Linked DNA regions of Drosophila melanogaster. The protein of the gene in region 1 purifies or fractionates together with the protein of each later gene. This does not show direct contact. Each region holds a gene or a part of one and is shown on either strand. Other genes may lie near its edges.

Region 1 (4,935 bases):
GGAGCCTTTCAATATATATAGCCTATCTGAAGATAAGCGCCTCTTTAATATCCAAGAATATAGGAGGTAATGGAAGCTCAAAGAAGCTGGGGTCGGAAAAATCGAATTTTTGAAATTTGAAAGCTGGAATCGTTTGCCCATTTTTTGCCCATGTTTGCCCACCAATTAGTTTTTTTTGCCCACGTCCAGTTTTTGAGATATGAATTTTCGAAAAAGTTCGAAAATTTTCGAAAATCAAAAATTTCGCTTTTTTCAAATTTTTTTTTTTTAAATCGCAATAACATCGTTTGCCCACGTTTGCCCACCCTTTAGAATTTTGAAAAAATTTATACTTTAGAAAATATAAGGCTTTTAAGTTTACCTCGGTCTAATCAGAGAGTAAATCGTTTGCCCATCTCTTAAAACCAAATATTATCAACAAAAAACGTTTGCCCAACCATTATTATTAGTTTTTATCGTTTGCCCACCCTTTAAAAAACCTTTAACAAAAATTTTTTTTCGATTGCCCACACTTGAAATACAACTAATTTCGTTAGCCCACCTCTTCAAAATAAAACTTTTCAATAAAAAACGTTTTCCCACCATTTAAAAATAAATAATTTCGATTGCCCACCTTTTAAAACTAAATAATTTCGTTTGCCCATCCTTTAAAATTCATTTTTAACGTTTGCCCACCCTTTAAAATTTGTTTTTTTCGTTTGCCCACCTCTTAAAAATGGTTTTTTCGATTTTTCACCTATTAAAACTAAATTTGTACATATGTACATATGTAATAATTGTAAGATGTGGCGCCAAAAGCACAGTTACTTACAAAAGAACAGTTATTTACATATTTACATACATTTTCAATATATCCATAGTGTTAATCATTCATGAATTGTAACATCAATTTTTCTTAATCATTGTTTCATTTCATGGAAAATATTTTATTCCAGAATTTTCTTGAGCTTGGAGAGTGTTGATAAACATACATACATTTTTTTGCATATATATTATATTGCAATATAAAATATTTTCCATGAAATGAAACAATGATTAAGAAAAATTGATGTTACAATTCATGAATGATTAACACTATGGATATATTGAAAATGTATGTAAATATGTAAATAACTGTTCTTTTGTAAGTAACTGTGCTTTTGGCGCCACATCTTACAATTATTACATATGTACATATGTACAAATTTAGTTTTAATAGGTGAAAAATCGAAAAAACCATTTTTAAGAGGTGGGCAAACGAAAAAAACAAATTTTAAAGGGTGGGCAAACGTTAAAAATGAATTTTAAAGGATGGGCAAACGAAATTATTTAGTTTTAAAAGGTGGGCAATCGAAATTATTTATTTTTAAATGGTGGGAAAACGTTTTTTATTGAAAAGTTTTATTTTGAAGAGGTGGGCTAACGAAATTAGTTGTATTTCAAGTGTGGGCAATCGAAAAAAAATTTTTGTTAAAGGTTTTTTAAAGGGTGGGCAAACGATAAAAACTAATAATAATGGTTGGGCAAACGTTTTTTGTTGATAATATTTGGTTTTAAGAGATGGGCAAACGATTTACTCTCTGATTAGACCGAGGTAAACTTAAAAGCCTTATATTTTCTAAAGTATAAATTTTTTCAAAATTCTAAAGGGTGGGCAAACGTGGGCAAACGATGTTATTGCGATTTAAAAAAAAAAAATTTGAAAAAAGCGAAATTTTTGATTTTCGAAAATTTTCGAACTTTTTCGAAAATTCATATCTCAAAAACTGGACGTGGGCAAAAAAAACTAATTGGTGGGCAAACATGGGCAAAAAATGGGCAAACGATTCCAGCTTTCAAATTTCAAAAATTCGATTTTTCCGACCCCAGCTTCTTTGAGCTGGTAATGGACACCTTAATGATTCTGATCAAGCTAAACTACGAATTTGTTTTGATTTTTAGCTATAGGTATACATTCATACTCCTCAAACAAGCAGAACTATGTATTTGTTGCTTATAGGAACCCCCTGTTTTATCAATGAAATACGACTTCTTATCTGAAGATATAGCCCCTCTAAATCCAGGAAAAACTCACCCATAGCTCGGTGCCCCAACTCATGTTGTTGGAGTTTTGCGCTGAGTTTTCCGATTCGGCCAGTTTGTTGTTGCTGCTGCTTCTGCTCGATCCGCTTGCCACTGTATTTGTTGTTGCCGTCGTTGTTGTTGTTGTTTTAATAATAATAATCCACAGAAGATAATGTAATCCACAGACGATGAGGAGAGAGGGAGAAAGGTAGAAAGCGAGGGAGAAGAGCAAAAGATGAGAACTTTTATTCGTTTTTGTTTTATATTTTCCCGCAAAGGTTAATTAATTTTATGGCTGCTTTTTCGTTTTCATTTTCCGTTTGTTTTTCTATATTTTTTTCAGCGTTGCGCGGCGCGATGTTTAATTTTCTATGAAAGAGAGCAATTCGAGTCAGATATATTTCATTTTTGTTTTTTTTTTTTTCGGTGGTTGGGCAGGTAAGAAAGCATGTAAAAACAAAAAAGAGTGGCAATGCAGACGTGTCAGTTGCAGCGGCAGGTAGAAAAATGAAGTTGAAGGAAATTATAGATAATGAGAATTTAAACACTTTTTTTGGGAGTTGTTTAGTGATAAGTGCAAAATAAGAAAATTCTATGCACTGGCATTTCGATGCGCAAAGAGAGTGAGGAGAGAGAGGGAGCGATAGAGATAGAGAGCGATGCAACTGCATTTCATAATTGAGAAAAGCAGAAAGAGAGGACAATTGGAATTCTACTATTGTTGTATTTACATAATTTCGCACACACACGCACACAAGTAAACGCAATTGCCGAATGCACGCACTCTGCTTCTAGATCTGCCACCGTTTTTTTTTTTGTTATTTGTGCTAACTTTTTTTTTAGCATTTGCTTTGCAGTTGCAACTTCTTTCGATTTTGGGTTTTATTTAGCGCCTGCACTTTCGCATGCGTCATAATTCGGGCGACATTTGCACACACACACAAGCACACAGTTAAAACACCCGCACTCACACAACGCAAGCATTTGTTTCTCCTTTTTGGCGTGCGAAAAAACAATTTTATCCGCTCGCAACTTTCCGCTCGTTTTTTCACTTCGGCATCAATACACAGTGTGACCGCAATGTGTTTGAATAGGCACACCTCTGCGTTTGCAGTGTGACCAGAGACCGATGGCGACCTAATTTCTAACTCTTTAACATCTAGCGGGGATATGAACCCATATTGAGAGCAACTGTAAAGTTTAATTATTATTATATAAAATATATGAAACTTTCGTTAATACGTGCCCCCATTTTTTTTTATAATTTAACGTTAATTGTAGACTTTTTAAATATATTATTGTGGCCTTGAAAACTAATAATTTTATGGAATAACATAACGTTGAAACAGATGAAGAAAGCTATTATTGAGCTTGGAAGAAACTTCTTATTATTGTTTATTGCTTTTAAAGTAACAAGAGCATCGCTTATTGTTGTATATAATATATTAATTTGAACATTAAATTCACTGGAGCAATAGATTTTGGCACACTGTAAGGTGTAAGCATGTGCGCCAGGCGCTAGATCATTTTTAGTACTTTCCTTGCATCAGCTGTTAACACTATCAGCTGGTGGGTCAACAATTACATTAGATTTACTAACTTTTTAATGAATTAAAACTTGAGAGAAACAACGTTAATATAAGAAATTAAATTCCTTACCAGCTCATACAATTCACCGGTCACAATGCCTTCTTACGAACTAGCACTGGTGCTCCGCCAATTGCCTCGCGTGAGTAGCACATGAAATCCACCGGCAGTTACATAAAAGTAAATAAGAATTGTACACCGCCCGCAGCCCGAACTGATTTCCGTGATTAGGCGAACGGCCGAGTCCATCCTGGACAAGGGCGGCATTATCCGGAAGCTGGAGAACCTGGGATCCCGCGCCCTGCCCCACAAAGTCAGCGAACACGGGGTGGTTCACCGGGAAGGCACCCACTTCACCATCGCCTTTGATACGGCGCCCACTAAGATCGCAGACTTGAAGGAGGAGTTTGGCCGCGACATCGACATCATACGGCGCTACATCTTCAAGGTGGAGGAGCCCGAGCAGAAGCCCTGCACGCTGCACGAGGAGATGCTGCCACCCGCGTATCGCAAGGATGTGCAGGAGATCATTGCGGCCGCCCAGAAGAAGCAAAAGAAGAAGTTCAACTACAACTCCGGCCTGGACTACTATCCCTTCCAAAAATAAAACACCAAATAAAACGCGTTAATTATGTATGCTAAAACCGGTTGTGGGTTCCTCGATCTTTGGCTAATTCAAACTGAAGCATTCCTTATGAAATGCGCCTGTTATCTTAGTACTTTTCACAATGTTTGTCTTTGTTTGGTTTATGGCGCCCAATCGGACGCTTATCAATTAATTGATAAAGCTCCGTATAATCGACCATCAATAGAACGTAAATTGTCCAGGTAGTGCCTCAAGAATCGTCGAGCAGTTCACTAGTACTTCCTCCTGACCGCAAACGACCTAGAAATGTCACCGCAAATCCGTCCACTTACGCCAGAGCTGCAAAAAGTTGCCAAGGAGCAGCTCAAGGAGGATCCCGAACGTCTCGAAGCCGATCTGCAGGCGTTTAAGACATGGATCGAGCAGCAGCCGCATCTAAATCCCCGAATGGATGATCAGTTTCTGGTGGCTTTCTTGCGCGGCTGCAAGTACAGTTTGGAGCGGGCCAAGTCCAAGTTAGATAAGTACTACACGCTGAAGACCAAGTATCCGGACTATTTCCGAGTTACCAACACCACGGATAGCAAGTTCCGGGAGATTCATCAAACGGGGTAAGGATTTTGACGCCAGCTAACTAATTTAATTTATCAATGCAATTCTGTCAATTCAGTGCCATCATCTACCTGCCCACTCCGCTGAATGAAAATGGACCTCGCATC
Region 2 (7,776 bases), on another chromosome or scaffold:
ACCACACGAGTGCCAGCAGTTTGCCAGTACGCTAAGAAGCTAGCTACCCTCGTGGGTACGAACTTGCACTCTATTCCGCAAAACGCGCTCGAAAAGAAGTTTTATTATCTATAATTGGATATAATTTAGAATGGAGTATTAATCCTTACTAAGAGGCCATATATGAAACTAGCCCAGACATTTATACTTTTTCAATACTTTCTTACTTTTGCTAAGCACTTCAGCATTTATGACTAAATATTTTGTATTTGAAATGCATTACTGCTCTTTTTTCAAACAAAAGCAAAATTGAGGATTAAGATTCTGGTATTTAAGCATAAGACCAGAGGAAATTCCCAAACAAACATTTAAAGTTATCTATCAAGACATGTTCATTAATTTGGAATATAATTACTTTATTTTTTATTGTATATTTTAGTTTATGTAAAGAAAAATTACATACATCCATGTTTGCTTACTTAACCACACATTCATGGCTGCTTATATTCGTGAAACATATTTTATTAATTATACAGGTATTTAACTTTCACAAGGATAATACAATTTCATAGCTTGTTGAGTATACTGAAATGCTACGGAGTTCGATATATTTTAATGTGTTTGTATTTACAAAATTCTAAATTTTCATTTTGGATAAATGTTTTATATTAATCGTATCGATTGCAAGTTGGGGTAGGATTGAGTTCAGTGATAATATCGATTATTTATAATTTAATATCCAAACACCGACTACTATGATACAGAAGCCCATATCTACTCAGACCTTGACTCCAAAGAAGCGAACAAAATTAGCAAGTCTTTTAAATCGCTTTCCTTGGATTGTCGTCTAGGCTTAAAATGCAAATGCGTTCGTTCACTATAGCGATTAATTTAACGATAATTACTCGTTGGTGTATATACAATTCAATGAAACTTTTGATTTTAGACATATTATTTAGGATTAGGTGTATATTGTATAAAGGGTGGTAGAAAAGCTTTGGTGCTTTTGTGTAATCCAATTTCATACCACGCTTGGTTTCGACCATCGTATGGATTAATTCTCTTTGGAATTACTTCTTCTTTTTGTTTTTTAGAATTATGTCAGGCTTTAACGAGTTAATCAGGGATCAAGCCGATGTTTCGTTCGGTTCCATCCAGCCCTCGCTGTCGTCTTCGCTATCCGAATCCTCGGACTCGGATAATTCGATAGCCACACGTCTGGCCAAGATTGAAGCCACATCCAATGGCGCCGCGTTTCGTTCAATTTCCTTTTGCTCTGACTTTTCAACTTTACGTAGAGTAATACCTGGAAAGATTAATTTGATGATATTTTTGCATTCGAACCTTGAATGGCAATTACTTACCATCTCGAATGGCCTTCATCAAGTCGTTGCGTGGGTCATGGAATGGAGGCAGCATCTTCTTGGGTGCGACAATGTGAGGCACACCATTTTGTTGGCCGGGCTGCTGCATTTCGCCATTGGCCAGTGATTTGGGAAGAATTTGATGCGGGCGCAGCGTGTGTTGGTTGCCACTGCCCATGCCTTCCTCGACTGGAGGCGGTGGCGGCGGCGGTGGTGGCGCGGCATTAGGTGGCGACATCTTAGGCGAGTGCTGTAAGGTTTTGCCACAAATTAAACCAAATTGTGATATATTAACACCCATCAGTGAACAACAAACCTGATCTGGAACCGGCGGCGGTGGCGGCAAGTCGCTAAGGGAGTTCAGTTGATTGCCCGTCATACCGATGCTGTGGAAAGTATTGCTCAGTTGCGTCATGACCATATCATTGGCATTCTGGACGCTGTTGGGAGATCCAGCTCCCGACGAACTGTTCGCCCGGCCAAGCAGTTTGGCCGCCATATGCCCGCTGTTGACTCCGTTCATGCCAGACATTGGTGAAATGACGTCTGGAACTGGTGGAGGCGGTGGCAAGGCATCCCGACTGGTCGACATACTTCTGCCCCTTGTCGGAGTGTTGGCATTGGAGGCTGTGGGCGTACCACCACCGCTGCCATTCGATGGCGGAGCCGGTGGCGGCTGCGACGGACGCGGTTTGTTACGCGACGGTGTTCCCGGTCCGTAGATGGGCTCCGGCGACATCACTCCCTGTCCAGTTTGGCCGTACAGCGCATGCGACTGATACATTCCGGCGTCATACATCTGCTGATGCTGCATGTGCATCTGCTGGGGGCCACCCATGCCGTTGCCGAAGGTGGCAGCATACTGATTACCCATCTGCGGTGGAAGCTGCTCGTAGGTGCTACCATCGATCTGCTCCGACTGATAGCTTCGGTTCAATTCGATCGAGTTAGGACGTGGCGGACGTGTATCGTACACTCCCATATCTAGAATAATGAATGTGAGATATTAGAGCCGTTGACTAACCACCCATTAAAATGAACGTTTTTACAGGACACACATCTCATTTAAAAACACGCCAATTATTTTGTAATTACAGCCGAGGAACAATAAGACACATATGTAATTACAAGCAATTCCAAATTTCTGTGCATATGAGACCGCTGGACTCGAATAGAAATTTTGTTGAATATACAAACATCCGATTAAAAGTCTTTGTTAGCTCGTTGCACAGAAAACAATTTAGAGATACTTTCGTAGAATAAGATGTGGCGACAGAAAGGAATTAGTAAAGCTGCAGAGTGACATGTAGACGTAGATATGGAAATTGACTGAACTACAACAGAAAGATAGGAGGATCCTAAACAAAAACTGCGGCTCAATCACGAATCGCGAGTATGAAATGAATTAAAGTATTATGCAAAATGCAAGATGCATTGTAAATATAATGTGCACACACATTACATTAAAATTGCAAGTTAGAAGGTGACTAGTTTACAGTGTTTTGAGATAATAAATCTGCACTTTGCATGACCAATGAAACTCATAAATCATCGCCATTCCGATTGATAGTTTGAAAAAGAGAGTGTTCTCTGTACACACAAATGCTAAAGGAACTCAAAAAGGATTGCTAGTAAGGTAATATGGGGATAGAAGCGAGTGAAAGAACATATATAGTCTTTACTGAGCTTGCTAAAAGTGGATGTGGATGTCTAACCTGCAATCGCAACGGCGGTTTGCTTGGTGACATTACTGTTATTCTCCAAATGCGAAAGCATATTATAAGGCTTTACTGTATCTGTAAATGAGATGGTTATGCGCGATTGATCCATTCGTAATTGCAATGCATATTTATGTTCACGTTCATTAATATCATAACCGAAAACAACGAAAGAGTAGTTCATAAAAACAACATGCAAATAAATAAAAGCTGCGAAAAATAATCGACCATTCGGAGAATGAAATTGTAAGGTTCTCTGACCGTATTGTATTTACCATCAACAAGACGAACTTCATTGGAACAAAGTCAGTGAATTCAAATTAGAGACAAATCAAGTTCGAAAGTCTTGCTAACTTACAGGAGGATGAACTAGACTGGCCATAGACCATTTTGCTAATGGTGTAATAATAATGAATTAGATCGAATATATCCTGTATCTGAGATTTTAATCAAACTTTAGATGGAATTTATGTTAAGTACCATTTCATTTATTTTTTAAGCTCTGGAAACTTTGTTTCGGTCACCTTTCTCTGGGTCATGATTGTGTGGGTTAATTTCAATTAATAGCAACTTCAAAATAATACAAATTAGTGATCTTCGAACTGGGTTTTGAGGCGCATCGAAAACTAGCGAGCTTTTGAGTGAAGTAGGTGAATGAATGGCGGGTACATCTGTATCGTGGGATGTCTGCCGGGCGGAAATGAAAGCTACGTGGCCCCATCATCGTACCTACGTCTTGGATATTACCGACAACTTGGTGGTGCGCATCGAGAGTGCTATGCCGCAAATCGATGTCAGCCTCGCCCACAGTCTGTATTTTGACTAGCTGAACTACACGGGCAGACAGGACATAATTGATAATTAAAATAGATGTACCATTCAATAGGCAAGACAAGTGCAAATAGTCAGTGCGCGAAACGAACGTACCAATAACAGCCTATGAATTTGGTTCGCACTGAATACTTGGCTCACACGGAGACCAATCCCTTTCGCCAAGTACTTACTTCCGTATCCGGCTTCTTCGTTGACCATGGAATTCGGTGTGCGGTAGATGACGTTGTTGGGCATCAATGTTTCGCCGTGCACCAGTGCACGTTGTCGCTGCTGTTCGCGCGTATTGTGCGGCACCCTTATTTTGGTCTTCTGTTTCTTATTGCCACGTCCAGCAGCTCCGCCGGCACCGCCATCCTGCCGCGGTCTGTTCAGCTTCTTGCCCTTGTCGTGCATCACACGTTCGGTATCCTTCAGCATCTCCTGTCGCCACAACTCAAAGAAGTAGTTCGGATCCGTGTAGAACTTAAGACCATCCTTGCCATCGTCTCGATAGACATTAAGCTTGTCGAGGGGCGGCGGTTTGTCGCACTGGGCATATGTGTCCATCATTGGTGCCGGCATGGTGGCGCGCGAGAAGATCTGTTGATCAAAAACCTTGGCCGACTTGAAGGCCTTCTTTCGGGTAATGTCCGTCAAGGGCACCTCCTCAACTGTGCTGTCCAGCTGGGTAACTTTGATAGCTAGGCGATCGATGCGCGCCTGCAGGGAGTTAGCTCGATCCCCGATGTTGCCCACGTCGCGGGCCAGTTCACCGAACACATCCTCTGCGTGCTTGGACAGCGAGGACAGCTGGCGAATGATGTTCGTCAGCGTGGTGTTGGTGACCGTCTCCAGCTCCACGGATTGCAGCTCATCCTGCTGATACACGGAGCGGGCCACATGCACGGGTTCTATGGATCGTTTGGGCAGCGGCATGGTCGGGCGCGATTGACAATTATCTCCAAATTGGCAAACCCGTAAATTAGTGCGTCCTCATCGACTGAAAACGGCATTAATAAGTAATAAATTGTTTTAATACGAATTAATGCATTTAAAATTAATTAAATATAAAACCCTTTATTTACTGATTTACTACATAATCTCATGCCAAATTGGGATCAATAATAAAAAGATTTCTTTTTATGCTGATTATCAATTGAAGACATTTCATTCCGATAAAATTGTACTTCCCAAATTGTCGTTTAACTTTGTTTATAAATTTTCCCGTAAAAGTAGACGTTTAAAAAGTTAATTGGATACTATCAAAATTGGTTTAAAAGAAATTTTGTCATCACTATACTAAACCGTCTATGAACAAGACTCAGAATGGTATTGCAGAAGATTTCACGAGACGCTTATCCATGTATCCATGAGACGTGTTCATTACAATCACCAAAATGCCATTTGAATTGTTTTGTGATATGCGCGACTGACGAACTCGACGTCTGGACCACACCCCACGAAACGATACCCACAGCGAGGTGATAAGGGCGTAACGCCCAAGTCACCCCCGCAAGATGCACCTTGCAGTCCCGGCGAGATTAGTCGATAATGCCCCCCTTTTCGGTGGCAGTTTCTGGGTGCTACGACCTGGGGCCTTTACGTGGGCACCTATTCCATACGTGCATATACGTATATCGTCGGCGGCCTCCCACCAACGCAAATTAGACCGTCACGCACTCACACACACGCATGAACCGCAGCAGCAGCAGCACCCAAGTAAATGTACATACATATGTGTGGGACGGAACGGCTGACTCTTTCAGATTTTCGCACTGAAACATTCGCACTAAATCGCAACAATGCACACACAAAGGTATCTCTCACACTTTCTAATCGTAGTGGCTGCTGCGATTTTGATTTTGGTTTTGAACGGCGCAGCTTAGTTTTACACAGTCCACCTCACTTTACAGCATATCGTACACTCACCGCCCGTCACACTTTTCGTTTGGCGGCTGGCACCACAACAAACATTAAGCAGCCACTTCCGTTTCGGGGGTTCGGTGGCAAATTCGATCCGATGCGAACTCTAATTAGCCAATTTGGGGCTTGAAAACTGCAAATATTTGCTCGTTTTGTGGAAACTAAGATTTCCACACCTTTGCAGTGTGACCGAAGCTTTGTGGTTCGAAAATACTGCAGGGATTCATCATTTCGGAAAATCAGACAAATATACTGCACGATGCGGTGGGGAAAAAGTTATTTTTATATTAAATGTAATATGTATTTTAATTACTATATTTAAATAAATTTTGCAAGGGAATTTTCAGTAACTCATTTCATATTGTTTATTTACTGTATAGAATGAAATATTTTAAATATAAATATATATTCAATTTATTTTATTTTATTTTAACTCTATATTATCCATAATAAGCTATTTTATTAACGTTATTTAAAATTACTGTTTGCAGTTTCTTCCATTAACTTTAGAAATGTATATTTGGTATTTTTGGTATTTATCCGCCGATCGATAACTAGTGCTCCAGCCCTGGCCCCAATGCATAACATCTCTGTTTCGTCGCACACTGAATAGGTAAGTTTTCCGCACATTTCGTTGATTTCCTCTTGTATAATTCCAACTGCTTGCAGAACCAAATTGAAAAGATGGCGAGTTTGGCTACCAAGGGATCAGGACTTGTGAACAGTGAGTGTCGTGAATCGAATGCAATCGAATGGATACACCACCATTGGCGCCTGTCAATCGCAAAATTATGTAATGATCACTTTTTGCAGGGCTCCTCACACAGGCGAGGCCCCAACTGGACGTGTTCCTGAAGTACGCCAAGGTGGAACTGACGCCCCCGACGCCCGCCGATATTCCGGCCATTCGCCAAGGACTGGGCAACATCATCAAGGGAGCCAAGACCGGCGCCTACAAGAACCTCACGGTTCGCGAGGCCTGGCTTAACACCCTGGTGACCGCCGAGGTCATCTTCTGGTTCTACATCGGCGAGTGCATCGGCAAGCGTCACATTGTAGGCTACAATGTCTAAGCTTACTATAGTCTCCGCTTGGCAGTCACTGGAATGGGCAACGTAATCCCTAACAGATGTGTATATTTATATGTCTGCGAACATTTCGACTCTGAATAAAGTGAAATAGTAATTTAAAATTCCGAAAATTTTCGAAAAATACATTGTTTTTTGAAAACCGTTAGAACGTTTGCGCGGGATTTGTGTAAGCTAAAGATGAGGTGATGTAAAACCAAGTTTGGAATTAAAAGTTGACGATATTTAATGATAAAAATTAAAAAAATATATGTAATGTTATACATCAAATGTTTATGAAACGGTGTCGTAATCAAAGAGGCTAATGGTTCAGAAATACATAATATACTTAGAGCATTTAAAAGCACTCAAGAATAATTTTATTTAAAAAAAAAAATAAATAAATCTAAATTTGCTTTTCATAGATAATTCATTTACACATTTTTTTAAACAAAGTAAAGTAAGATGTATTGAATTATTTTATTTATAAATAACGTTTTTTATTTGAATCTTGAAAAGCATTAATATTATTATTATTATACTTATATTTTTTAACAACAAAACTTTTGTAGACAGAGTAAATTTTTGTAATCTAACTGCGGTCACACTTTACTTTAGTTACCTTCCGATCGGAAGAAGAACCCGGCTGACATTAGGAATAGGAACTTGGCAGAACTTTCCCAGGATCTGTCAGAATGGCCTACAAGAAGCGCCTACAATCGCAGAACCTCGTGCATCTGCTGCAGAACCGCGAGTCCGGATACACCAACGTGGGCCAACAGCCGGGCAGGATGCCGCTGTTGGCCTACGAGCGTCTCTTCTACAAGTGCATCACGCCTTGCCTGACAATTGACTCGATTACCATTCCGCCGATCTACCTGCGCAAGTTTACGCCGGATGGCAGAAAACTGT

Evidence for each region.
Region 2: the proteins of Cip4 (region 1) and SCAR purify together in Drosophila melanogaster (affinity purification with western blotting, with the first as the bait; 2 studies listed by BioGRID). This does not show direct contact.

The regions. Positions count from the first base shown.
Region 1 is NT_037436.4:4,360,974-4,365,908, forward strand, and holds the start of Cip4 (Cdc42-interacting protein 4), read right to left. Parts: upstream 3,002-4,935; 5' UTR 2,890-3,001; coding exon 2,775-2,889; intron 2,155-2,774; coding exon 2,054-2,154; intron 1-2,053. Other genes in the region: mRpS6 (mitochondrial ribosomal protein S6), read left to right, coding at 3,728-3,772, 3,839-4,237; CG33514 (uncharacterized protein), read left to right, coding at 4,523-4,827, 4,887-4,935.
Region 2 is NT_033779.5:10,974,996-10,982,771, reverse strand, and holds SCAR (SCAR), read right to left. Parts: upstream 6,001-7,776; 5' UTR 5,702-6,000; intron 4,875-5,701; 5' UTR 4,811-4,874; coding exon 4,066-4,810; intron 3,893-4,065; coding exon 3,791-3,892; intron 3,140-3,790; coding exon 3,059-3,139; intron 2,328-3,058; coding exon 1,660-2,327; intron 1,594-1,659; coding exon 1,344-1,593; intron 1,286-1,343; coding exon 1,107-1,285; coding exon of another isoform or gene 1,050-1,106; 3' UTR 377-1,049; downstream 1-376. Other genes in the region: piwi (P-element induced wimpy testis), read left to right, coding at 1-114; ATPsynG (ATP synthase, subunit G), read left to right, coding at 6,482-6,521, 6,611-6,870; abo (abnormal oocyte), read left to right, coding at 7,560-7,776.